Linked DNA regions of Oryza sativa Japonica Group. Each later gene encodes a partner of the first gene's protein in a complex. Links are inferred from orthologs where the notes say so. Each region holds a gene or a part of one and is shown on either strand. Other genes may lie near its edges.

Region 1 (3,514 bases):
TCAACATCAATAGATAGCCTAGCTGGTATATTTTCTTTCCTTTTTATGTCATATTTGGGGACAAGATCTAACTTGTTGCTGACATCTGTATGCACAAGACTGGATAATGCACTTTTTAGCTCAGCAGATGCTTTGCTACTCAAAGACAATAGTGTATGCCTTATTCTACACATGGCAGCCTGGAACTTGATACATTCCATTTCAGTTGCAAGAGCAGTCTTCATAGATAGTAGGAAGTATCCAGCATTAAACATGCTGTCACTCTTCCTTTGAGAAACCACAGAAGAATCAAGTGAAGTCTCACCAGAAATAGGTCTTGATGCTTCCTCCTTGCCTGATTGTATGTCAGTGTTTTTTAATCCTTTGTCACTTTCTTTTTTCCCAACTTGGACAACTGTGTATAAGTTTGATGAACCAATATCACGTGAAAGATTACCAGATGCTAGTCTAACAGACTTCTCAGGCTTGTCTTCTCCAGACTCCATTTGAGAACTTTGTGCAGCATCATATGAATAAACTCTTGAGTTAAAACTAGAACTCCCTGGTTTTATGGATCTGGGCTGGTAAGGATTTGTAAACAACGATGTTGGTGTCTCACCGGTGGAAATTTCAATAGCTGCATACTCGGGTGCATAAGTGAGCAATGCTTCAGCTCTGGTCAGATGACTAGATCTACCAGACGATAACACAACTGATTGGGAGCTTGTAGGCGACGCAATATCTTTCTGAGGCTCTTGAACCTTAGAAACAACATCATGAATAGGTGCTACAGTTTGGTGGTTAAATACCTCCAAAGATGAGAGACCAACTGGAGAAAATCTTTGTTCAGGTATATCCATAGCTGTCGACGGACTATCTGTGAATGTGGCATCCCCACAGTCAGGACCGGGGATCACCAGAGAATGTGATTCAGCAGTACCTGGAGGCTATATAAATTGTAGGTAGGTTAGAACATTGCAATTCTGAGCCACAATGGATGCAACAATCATGTTCTATTTCTGTTCAAGGAAAATGCAATTATTGTGCTCGAAATTGTTTAGATCTGCCGAGCAGAATTTCCTAATATTTTCTGTTCATGAATAGTTTGACAACTGTCTAAATTAGAAGGCAAACAACATGAGGTTGTGCAGTAGAAGAAAATTCCTCCACAGGCTTTAGGCGAAATCGCAAGCAACATGTTTCAAGGCATGTAAGCTGTGAGGAATTCTATAAATGGTCGTTCTTTGCAATTTATACACTTAAAAGGGCAGTAATGAAGCCACCTGTTATAATCTAGACTCTTAAAACAAGCAGTAGAGGCAGTTATAATCTAGACTCTTAAAACAAGCAGTAGTGGTTTTTTGAGTAAATTTCACAAAATCCCGGGTTTGGGAGCATGTGTAACGGAAAACCCCTTATATTGCGATTTGTTTCAAGGAACCCCATGTTTGGAGGCAAAATGTTTCAAGAAACACTACATTTAAACTTATATTGTCTATTTGGCTAATAGATTTATGCATAATAATTGCAAAAAATAGTATGTGATATTTTGTTAATTAAGTATATATGTATTATCCGCATTTTCAACATGTGTTAATTATCAAAAGTATAAACCATTTTGTGTTTATGTAACCGGTTAATCTGTCATCAACAGTGAGGACTGTGTTGAGTATGTGCAATCATTGAGTGCGAGAGTGATGAAGATAAATTAGACATGAGGAAGTGCATTTTGAGCCTACTTATATGTGAATATATATTAAAAATACCATATATAATCATGAAAATGAGTATTTTATATAAATCTGAGTTCCTCAAAACATTTTGCCCCAAAACATGGGTTCCTTGAAACAAATTATAATACTTCGTTATGCATGGTTTTGTGAAAATTGCCCATTTTTGTAAAAAAAAAAAAAAAAAAAGGTTACGCAGCAGCACAAAATGCAACAGTAGGAATTACAAAATATAATCTTAGTTAACAGAATTTGACTACTTCTATACTTGACAGAATATCTCAAAGTAGCATAGATTCACAGTATTATCATTAGTCCGAGTAAATCCTTGGTTGATTGGTAAACTACAGAAAGATCATGGGACATGACAGCATACCTCACCAAAGTCTAACTCCTCTTCTTGAAAGAAGTCACTAAAATCTCCAAACTCTGATATTAGTAAATTGATGTCCATCGCAACCCCCTCCTCATCCCAGCCCCAAGAACATCTACCTTGACCATTTACCCCTTGATTGTTATCCACGGATTCTTTACCAGCACGAGAAGAAACTTCTGGTATTTCAGAACGAGGCCGCTTGGATACCTGGTTTCACAGGTACAGAACATCAAGGTTACAGCAATGCCATTACGTTCATGTAACACGGGCACACGGCACAACAATAGCATGATCGTGTAATACCATTTTCATATTGTTGCACAAAAGTTAAGAATATAAAAGGTGCCAGATGCAGAAAATTCATTCACCAGAGTCTTCATCCACACTTGGCTTGCATGTGGGAAGAAAATATTTGATCTGATAGGTTTAGCATCAATGGGCAAATACATGGACATCCGTGTTTTAAGTGAACATAGGTCTGAGTGGATCGTATTTACTCACAAATTAGACACAAACACTTTTACACGTAAGAAGGTACATCTATAAGCTTCTATGAACTTCATAATGTGTCGTGTCATGTACAAAAGGTCTACTGGCATTTGGTTTATCTATTTCTATCCAGATTTTCATTTCATTTATCCACAATACCAAACCATTTGTTAATTATAGTGATACCATTTACAGGAAAGAAAAGAATATATTAAGTATGTCAGTCCTCTAATTAACATATTACATTAGATTAAAGCCTATTGGGAGATGGCACAAAAAAATGTTTGGGCATCACTAATAGCATACACCATTTCTGTAGACCATAAGAAGGATGTAGCAACACATGGTTGACATGTCTTATGCGTTTCCAAAATAAATATGTTATTTAAGCATACCCTATATTTGCATCTGTGCCTCATTAAAGATGAATCACCAATAAGATCGTAAGAAGGATGGAAGAGTATACATATTATTGTGTTAATAATAGCTTAACTAGTGATTAAAAAAGAAACAGTATTTTAATAGCAAAGTATAAAAAGGCTATAAGGCTATGTGTGAATTAAGGTTCACTTTTTGGGGGGAGGTAAATTAAGAAGGATTGTAACAAAGTACCATCTTGCTACCAGCAATGTTGGATGGCAGATCAGACTGATGGCATGCCATAGAGTCTGCATCAGCTGAAAGGTCACCACCTTCAGCAGCAACTGCATGTTCACTTCCATTGGAAGTGCTACTAACACTACTGATACTACTGGCCATGCTGCTGTAATTGCTGTTCTTCTGTCTCCTTAGTCTTAGAAAATTAGAGTTCACTCCAAGTCCACGAGATGATCCAAGGCAAGAGCTGATACCGAATCACAACACAAGATGGAAAAAAATCATGGACAAAACAAAATTAGCAATCAGGATATATTAAGAACATAAAGGATAGGCATTAATA
Region 2 (4,058 bases), about 1.7 Mb from region 1:
TATAGCAGGAATTCGACTATTGGTGACTTGATAACTCTCATCGGCTGATTCCGAGATGCTACAGCCGATAATGATTCTAAGCCGATGACGCCTTTGTCGATTATCAAATTTCACTGTTAATAGATAGCTCAGTTTTTTATAAATAGAAAGGAGTATTTGCCGCCTAAATATTTTCTTTGATGATACAGCGTATATTGCTAATCAATCTTGATCGCCATTTACTAATCCAAGATTTCGCTACTACATTAGCACCTTGTTTTGAAAAGGATGCTAAAAGTACTCCATTCTTTTTCTATTCAAAAAAGAAGAAGCTATACAGAGCATAAATATTTCTTTGATCCTACGGTGTACTACTGTGCTATACTATATCAAACCATCGATTGGCATTTACTAATCCAATACTATTTCCTCGCACCATGTTTCGAAAATGATGCCAAAAATAGTCCATTGGGCCTCAACAATTAATAGTACTCCTAAAGCACATTCTCCATTCCATAAAAAAACCACCCTATTACCGAAACGTGACACATTCTAATACCACAAATATATTTATATAGATACAATCCAAGTTTACTTTTTAAAATTTGAGTGGCCTACGGCGGCTACGGTTGCATGCACGTATTTTCTTGGTTCCATAAAAAAAATAACATAGTGTTGAACGTCTATTCAGATTTATAGTATTAAAATATATCATATTTCGTACTAATTTAGTCTTTTATAGAATTGAGAGAGTACTCTATTCATCTAAAAATGGACAATCCTTCGTAAGTTGAGTTTTTCTTTTGGGATGGAGGTGGGTACGTGCATACAACTGGTTCACATACTATAGACACTTATATATGAAACAAATAAGAGGATGATCCTATTATATAATAACAGTGATATTATGGTAGATGATGCTCACCTACCCAAGTTTGAAAACTAAACTTGAATTAAGTGGATATCAAACGGGAATCATTAGCCCAATAAACAAAAAACGAATGCTACTATTACCAACCAAACACTACAGGAAAGAGTAGTACTAGTCCCACTCCCACCAACAACAGTTGAGATCCTCTCCAGTACTGCATGTGCCGTACTGCTCACTAATATGTGGGCCCGAGGGGCTATAGGGCTCACATGTCAGGGAGCCTACTGCATGAGAGGACCTGCATCCCACCAACAACTCGACAGGGTCAAAGCCGAGAAACAGCCACGAGGCCGCCTCCCTCTCCAAAACCGTAGTGACCTCGCCCTGTGTGGCTGTGTCCCCAAACCCGGTAAAAAAAAGGGCCCCCCCGGAAAGTCCTAGACCGAGAAAAGCTGCGACCTCCGTTGCGCGAGAGAGAGAACGAGACGAACGGAAGGAGTTGGGAAAGGGAGACGCGAGATTTGTTGTTACCACTAGGAGGCCATGGTGGTGGTGGTGGTGTGCGTGCGGGGGAATTAGGAGGAGGAGTAGTTGTTGTTGTTTGGTAGAGTCGAGCTTGCGTAGTTCTCGTGGGCTCTCGTTTTTGCGTTGCGTGTGCCTCGCCATCCGCCGCGTCCCTATCCAACCCCCCTCCCCGCATTCCCTCTCCCCCTCGTCGTCGTCGTCTTCCTCCTCCTGCGGCGGCGACGGCACAGATAAGATTTGGTTAGGAGCTGTTTTGTTTGTTGGGTTGAAATCGTCAAGTAACGTGGACGTGGGGGTGAAGCAAAGGAAGGGAGGGGAGATTGGGTTTGGGTGGTGTGAGGATTGATTTGTTTTTTTTTTTTGGGGTTTTCTCTTCTTGATTGATTCGTTCTTGGCGTTGAGGAGAGGCAGCGGTGTTCGTTAGATTGATTTTTCGCTGTCTCGGGAGAATTTCGCTTTCCCGGTTGGGGGATTCCCTCGGTGGGGGGCATCTGATTCGCGATCGGGTTGGATTAGATTCTTTTGGTGCAACGTAATCTGATAAGGGGAAAAAGAAATTTCAAGATTGTGAGGAGGAGGAGGAGGAGGTGATCGAGAGAGGGCATCGATTCTTGGTGGTGCCAGGGGAGCCATCGGAGTCGTGGGGGTGGAGGTGGAGGTGGGGGGAGCCCGATCTCGGGTGGCCGCGGCGGCGATGGCCGACCGGCTGGATCGGTGGCGCGAGCTCCTCCGCGGGGCGGCCGGCTCCGCCGGAATCTGCGACGTGATCGAGAACGCCATCCTCGTCGCCGCCGCCGACGCGCCGCAGGAGCTCCTGCGCCGCCGCGACCGCATCTGCGAGATCCTCTTCACCGCGCCGCGCGCCCCGCCCTGCCACCACGGGTGCGGCAGCGCCGCCACCCCGACCCCGGCCACCCCCGTGGAGGAGGACAAGGGCAGCGTGCGCCGCGTCCCCGAGAAGCAGAGCAAGGTGGACAGCAGCAGCAACGGCGCCCTCGGCGGCGGCGGCGGCCGCCGCGACGACGTCGATGACGACTCTGACTCTGACTCCGACGACGAGCGCCTCCGCCGCGCCGCGGCGAGCAACTACGGTCACAACTACGATGATGACGACGAGGAGGAAGAGGAGGAGCAGGAGGCGGCGCCGGCTGAAGAGGACGAAGAACAAGAGCTGGACCCCGAGGCTGTGGAGCTTGAGGCACTCACCAACGAGATCGACGAGGAGTCACAGGTCGTCGGCGAGGTTCTCCGCATCAAGGACCTCTTCTTGCACAAGGAAGATCATGTATGATGAACTATTCCCAGCTTTCAGTTCTTCCATGAGTAAGAGTTGTGCCATTCCTCAACAGGGACTTAACATTTGATCTCAACTGTGGTTTTCGCAGTCGGATGCTACTTTGTTCGAATCACTGAGGAGGCTGCAGCTGATGCAATTGTCCGTTTCCACGCTGAAGGTACTGTGTTGGATAGCGCATATGAGCTATGCGGAGTGACGCATAGTGGTTCTGTTTGGTTTGCTAATCTCCGATGTTGTTTGTTGTAGGCTACTGAGATTGGGAGGGCTGTTAATGGGCTGCGGAAGCACAACTCGCAGCAAATTCGTCACCTTGTGCGCACTCTCATTGAGTAAGTTCAATATGCTTGCACTAAATTTCATTCTCTAGGGCTGATCTAGCTTTTAATTTAGAGAACTTGCTGAAGCAAATTGATACTCTACTGTACCTATAAGTTTCTGAAAACATGATACGAGTCTACTGATTTAGCTTCTGTATTCTCCAGTCTTTGTACTACTTGAGTGAATTATTTACCTTATTTGTAGTGTGGTTATTAACCAATTTTGGAAACATTGTTGACGTCTTAAAACATTTTTTTTTCAGAGGTTGGAAAATTTTGGTTGATGAGTGGGTCAGCACCACTAATGTTGCCCTTACAGGTAATAAAAGTTATTTTGTTTCATATCGCGTATGAGTCATCAATTTGTAAGTGAATGTTCACCTCTTAACATGTAATGGATCTTTTGATCTGTAGACAACTCCCCGGGCTCTTCAAAAACATCTGTTGTCGATGATGCTGATGATGAAGGGCTTCCTTCTCCACCTCTGGATGAAGGGGCGTTCTTTGCAACCCAGACTACTGCTATTCAACTCTCTGAGGTACTAATTTTTGTTTGTTCCTGGTATCTGGATTGTTTTGGTCCAGAACACAATTCTAACTTTGCATTGTTGTTTTTCTTTCTGCTTCATCTTCCTGACCTAAAGTTCTTTGATGAAATGGATGAAGATGGAAGTAAGTACAACAACTCAAATTACATAGTTTCCCTTTTTTTTCTGTGCACTATAATAATTCAAGTTATACATTTTATGACAGACTTGAGACATAACAATGATGGGAGCCTTGGAAATAAGAGAGAAAATTATGGCAGGAGGCCTACAAGCCATCCAGCTTTGACAAAGCAAGAGCCTCCCCGTAACATGGGAGCTGTTGAAAAAGTTCAATCCAGGAGGCCGGAATTGGCAAGGCAAGAGCCATCAATGAGGCAGGCTAACCCACAAACCCCTCAAAATTCAAGTTTGCAAGTCAAACAGCAGGCCATGCTTCACAAGCAATCTAAGCCCTTGAGTTCTGATTCTGGACCTGGGAGACCATTAAGGGCAGCTCCTCAGCAGAAGCCCTTTGTTGAGAT
Region 3 (4,171 bases), on another chromosome or scaffold:
GTATTTGTAATTTGGCTCGGCTCTGTATAAATGGACCGTATAATATGGATATTGATTTTGGCTCTGTGTTTGGACTAGAAATATACTTGGACTGTAAATGTGGATGGGACGGTATGGTGTATATTGTATAATTGGTCATTTGGCTATAGGTCAACTCGTGTAATAGGACTGTACATTTATAATTGGGACTGTATGACTGGACGTTGTATTTGTGGTGGGACGGTGTGACTTGGACAGTGCTTTGGAAATGGGATTTGTGGTATGTATAGATATTCCGAGAATGCACGAGGGCAGAATAAATGGATTGCAACATGAGACTTTGTTTGGATGGATGCACCGTATTGCCAAATAGGAGTTTAGGGTTAACGCACGATAAATGAATTTATCGGTTGTTGTAGGATTATTTTGAGAGTGTTCGTACAAACGAACGACGGTAGCGAAGAAAGGATTTTAGGGACAACGCGTAGCATACAAATCCAATCGTCGCGGTAGGAATAGAATCGGAGATAATTGAATTGACGCATGATAAATAAATACGCCGATCGATTGTAGATAGTCAAGGGAGAGTGTTGGGTTTGAATTGATGGAGTGATTTTAAATAATCGCTGGGCGAGAGTTTGAGAGAGCAACAATATCGCGATAGGACAAAAAAGTTTTGGGTCATTGATTTATTTAGCATCGAAGCACATAACAAATTAGACCGCGAAGGTAAGAGAAGGTAAGGATGGAAAAAGAAAGGTATAGGAAAGGGTGTCCTTTCTAGAGATAGGGTTTAATCAAAATCTATGGCACAAATTCTAAACACACACAAATAAACAATAAATCCTAACATGCAAACTAGGCTATACCTGAGGGAAAATTAGACGTTGTGTGAGAAGGTCATATCTTTTGAAAATAGCCTATTATGAATTATATTTTGCAAATAGGGTTTTTAATAAATACTTTACTAATATATATTATTTTGTAATTAATTTTCCGAAGGCAAATTCCTTTTCAAAGGTTCGTATAAAATAGCCATAGCTATGTTTCTTTATTAAAAGGGTATTTATTTCAATATACTACCCATAGAGGGTTTTATCCAAAACGGTAACATGTATTTATGTGTAGCTTTATTTACAAAATAATTATGCTGAAGGGGTTCTAATAGAGAAGGGTTTTTATATATAGTTGGCATTTGCAAATGTTGAAATATTTCATAAATTTATTATTATATTTTATTAGTATAAAAAAGTTAGGGTTAACGCCATGCTACCGTATGCAAGGGGAAAGGAAACGCAATCGGAGTATGCTGTAAGTACAAGGGGGCAAATGCGAAATAAATACTAGGTCGGTCCAACCCCGAGGTTTCTTCTCCTCCGAGGCGAGGCGAGACTCCGATTCTAGCCTACCTCGCTCGCTCGCTCGCTCGCTCCGTCTTGTGGTCGCCGCCGCCACGAAGACCAAACCCTCGCAAATTGCAATCGAAGAAGAAGAAGAAGAAGAGGAGCCATGGATGGCGGCGGCGGCGGCAACTGGAGGCCCACCCAGGGGGCCGACCCCGCCGCCTCTGGGGGCATCGATCCCAACGCCCCGGCCCCCGCCCTCGCCGGCGGCGACTGGCGCTCCCAGCTCCAGTCGGAGGCCCGCAACAGGATCGTCAACAAGATGTAGGGCTTTCCCCCTCTCCCCCCACCCACTTCCCTTCCCTTCCCTTCCCCCAATTTTTCTTCTCTTCATCAACTATATAAAATAAAATAGAAGATCCATACATCGCATCATCCTTTTGTGCCTGTGGTCGATTCAATATGATGCAACTCTGATCCGATCTACTCCTACGTAGCTAGTTGTAATCTCATCATAATCTCCCCTTCCGTGCCCCTGTGTTTCTGTTATTTATTTATTATTATTTACTTTGTTAGTTAGGTCCAACTCCAATCCCTCCCCAACTATTTTCAGATTCTTATTAGCTTTGACATTCTTGTCTAGTTCACCTAGTCTACATATCCAATTGAACTCAATTTACATTTCATCAGACACAGTTATTACAGTATAGAGGTTTGCTTGGAAGATGCACCCCTTCTGTTCAAATGGATCTTCCCTTTGAGGGTCAGGGAACTATGATGGCAAGGCAAACTGTTTGTTGGAGAAACCGCCTACCTCTCTCGTTTATTTTACTTCGTTATGTTAGATCATGTATGTGCCACTCTCGCTCCGCGAGTCCTTTGTAGCTGTTGTCCACTTTTGGTCATAGCCACTATATTTGAGCGCGTAACTTGGGCTATGCCTACTCATTTGTCCAACATCTTGAATGGTAGACTGACACATTATGCCTTAGGTGACATTTCTCTTTTTTTTTTTGCACAAAACATCTCAAAAGCACTCTCTCTCTCTCTCTCTCTCTCTCTCGTTCTGCATGGGATATATTCGTCATTTACTTGCTTGTTGCAATCTGCGTACAGAATGGACACTCTGAAGAAGCATCTACCAGTATCAGTGCCTGAGGGGTTGAATGAACTTCAAAAGATAGCAGTGCGATTTGAAGAGAAAATCTATACTGCAGCCACCAGCCAGGTACACTTAGCCTCTTGCTAACTCATCGGGTTGATCCAATCTTTCAGTTGTGGGGCTCAAGCATGGCATTTGGGATCTTAGTAGAAGAAATCGATCGTCCAATGTTTGCAAATATGTCTGTTGATTTTGAAGTTTGTTAGAGTTTCGCCGTGAAGTATCCACATTTTCTTTTGAACCGATTGTAATATTTCGCACTTCCACCTAAATCAGATTATCCAAGGCTGCTGAAGCTTTTCCCCTTCCATTATCGGGGGAAAATCTCCTTTGCGCCTTGGATACAGGGACTAAGACTGATTCAGTCCTATGCTAGAGGTGTTGATGTCCCCACATTATTTTCATTGATAACATATCTCAATAGTAAATTAGTATTAATGAATTATAGAACTAAACAATATTTTTACCATGAGACTGGTTTCTCTCATTGGCCATGTTAAAAGTACAGGAGTTGTACCTTGAGTTCTGTAAGCCCATCATTCCATCTGTTCATGCTTGTATAAATCACCTGTAAAATATTCCCTTTATCCCAGATGAAACATCAAACAATGGTTTACTCCAGTCCTTCCTTTTGTGTTAGCGAGTATGTCATCATATATCCCACTTCATTTTGGTAAACATTTTTGTAGGAGCTTCTTTGGCTGGGTATAGGGATTCATAATCTCCAAATTCCAATTGTGTTCTCCTGTTCATACTTCATCAGGCTTATTCATGCCAAAGTAGTTTGCTGTATAGATAAGAATTTGTATAATTTAATTGATTGTATAAAAAAACGAAGCATATGTTTCAATTGTGCTAACCACCAGGACTTAGGGTGGCAAGTTATTTATTACAAAGCCAAATCTTACCATTGTATTCTTTTGTATCACCAGTCTGATTACTTGCGGAAGATTTCTCTAAAAATGCTCTCTATGGAGACAAAGACTCAACAGAATCCTGGAAACGCCCAAGTGATTCAAAACCAAAATCCCCCTGGCTCAGGTATCATATGAAGTATATTCAATATCCGATTCTGAAATACTGGAGTAATAGTAAGATATTCGCTGGTACCATATTTTGTTCACCGTAAAAGTCCTTGTATATATTTTTCATGATGTAACTATATTGCATGTGTGTTTACAAGCCCCATTTCTGAGAGGAAACCATCCAATGGAAGCTCTGCCACACTGGGTACAACAGTGCTCTCTCGTTTTAGCTTGTATCGGATAATGCTCAAGCAAGTAAATTAAGGCGAGATGCCTGTCAGTCGAAACCTCCAAACTTGTTGATTACTCGAACCTAATTAAGTAATTGCTAATCTTGATAGCAAACACACCATTTGGATGCTGGCCACGAATCCTTGCATGGTCATATTCAAAGCTTTTGGGCACCAACATCAAAACAGACGACCCCTTCAATCTGCTTGTTCTAGTAGAGGCTAGATCAGCCATGGCTTCCAAAGTAGAAAAGCAAAGCAAGGCTCACACCATCACGTCTGCTGCCAGCAGCCCAAAGACCAAAGATACACATAGCTTTCTAGCACTCATTCTCTCTCTTTTTAATCAAAGATTAGTATCATAGTCTAGCCCATTGGCAATACACAATCACTTCATCGATATAACCTCTCGCACTGGATTTCCTCTCCCTG

Evidence for each region. The genes of interacting proteins can lie anywhere in the genome.
Region 2: mediator of RNA polymerase II transcription subunit 13 (region 1) and probable mediator of RNA polymerase II transcription subunit 26b share a complex: the UniProt entries of both Arabidopsis thaliana proteins name them as parts of the mediator complex. The link is inferred for Oryza sativa Japonica Group from reciprocal best matches to the Arabidopsis thaliana genes GCT and AT5G05140.
Region 3: mediator of RNA polymerase II transcription subunit 13 (region 1) and mediator of RNA polymerase II transcription subunit 15a share a complex: the UniProt entries of both Arabidopsis thaliana proteins name them as parts of the mediator complex. The link is inferred for Oryza sativa Japonica Group from reciprocal best matches to the Arabidopsis thaliana genes GCT and NRB4.

Annotation. Positions count from the first base shown.
Region 1 is NC_089039.1:22,060,890-22,064,403, forward strand, and holds part of mediator of RNA polymerase II transcription subunit 13, read right to left. Parts: intron 3,419-3,514; coding exon 3,187-3,418; intron 2,293-3,186; coding exon 2,086-2,292; intron 927-2,085; coding exon 1-926. UniProt on the Arabidopsis thaliana protein: Component of the Mediator complex, a coactivator involved in the regulated transcription of nearly all RNA polymerase II-dependent genes.
Region 2 is NC_089039.1:20,347,247-20,351,304, reverse strand, and holds the start of probable mediator of RNA polymerase II transcription subunit 26b, read left to right. Parts: upstream 1-1,244; 5' UTR 1,245-2,069; coding exon 2,070-2,660; intron 2,661-2,760; coding exon 2,761-2,829; intron 2,830-2,918; coding exon 2,919-3,001; intron 3,002-3,252; coding exon 3,253-3,308; intron 3,309-3,403; coding exon 3,404-3,528; intron 3,529-3,633; coding exon 3,634-3,661; intron 3,662-3,742; coding exon 3,743-4,058. UniProt on the Arabidopsis thaliana protein: Component of the Mediator complex, a coactivator involved in the regulated transcription of nearly all RNA polymerase II-dependent genes.
Region 3 is NC_089042.1:28,450,866-28,455,036, reverse strand, and holds the start of mediator of RNA polymerase II transcription subunit 15a, read left to right. Parts: upstream 1-1,357; 5' UTR 1,358-1,488; coding exon 1,489-1,646; intron 1,647-2,438; coding exon 2,439-2,550; intron 2,551-3,416; coding exon 3,417-3,525; intron 3,526-4,171. UniProt on the Arabidopsis thaliana protein: Component of the Mediator complex, a coactivator involved in the regulated transcription of nearly all RNA polymerase II-dependent genes.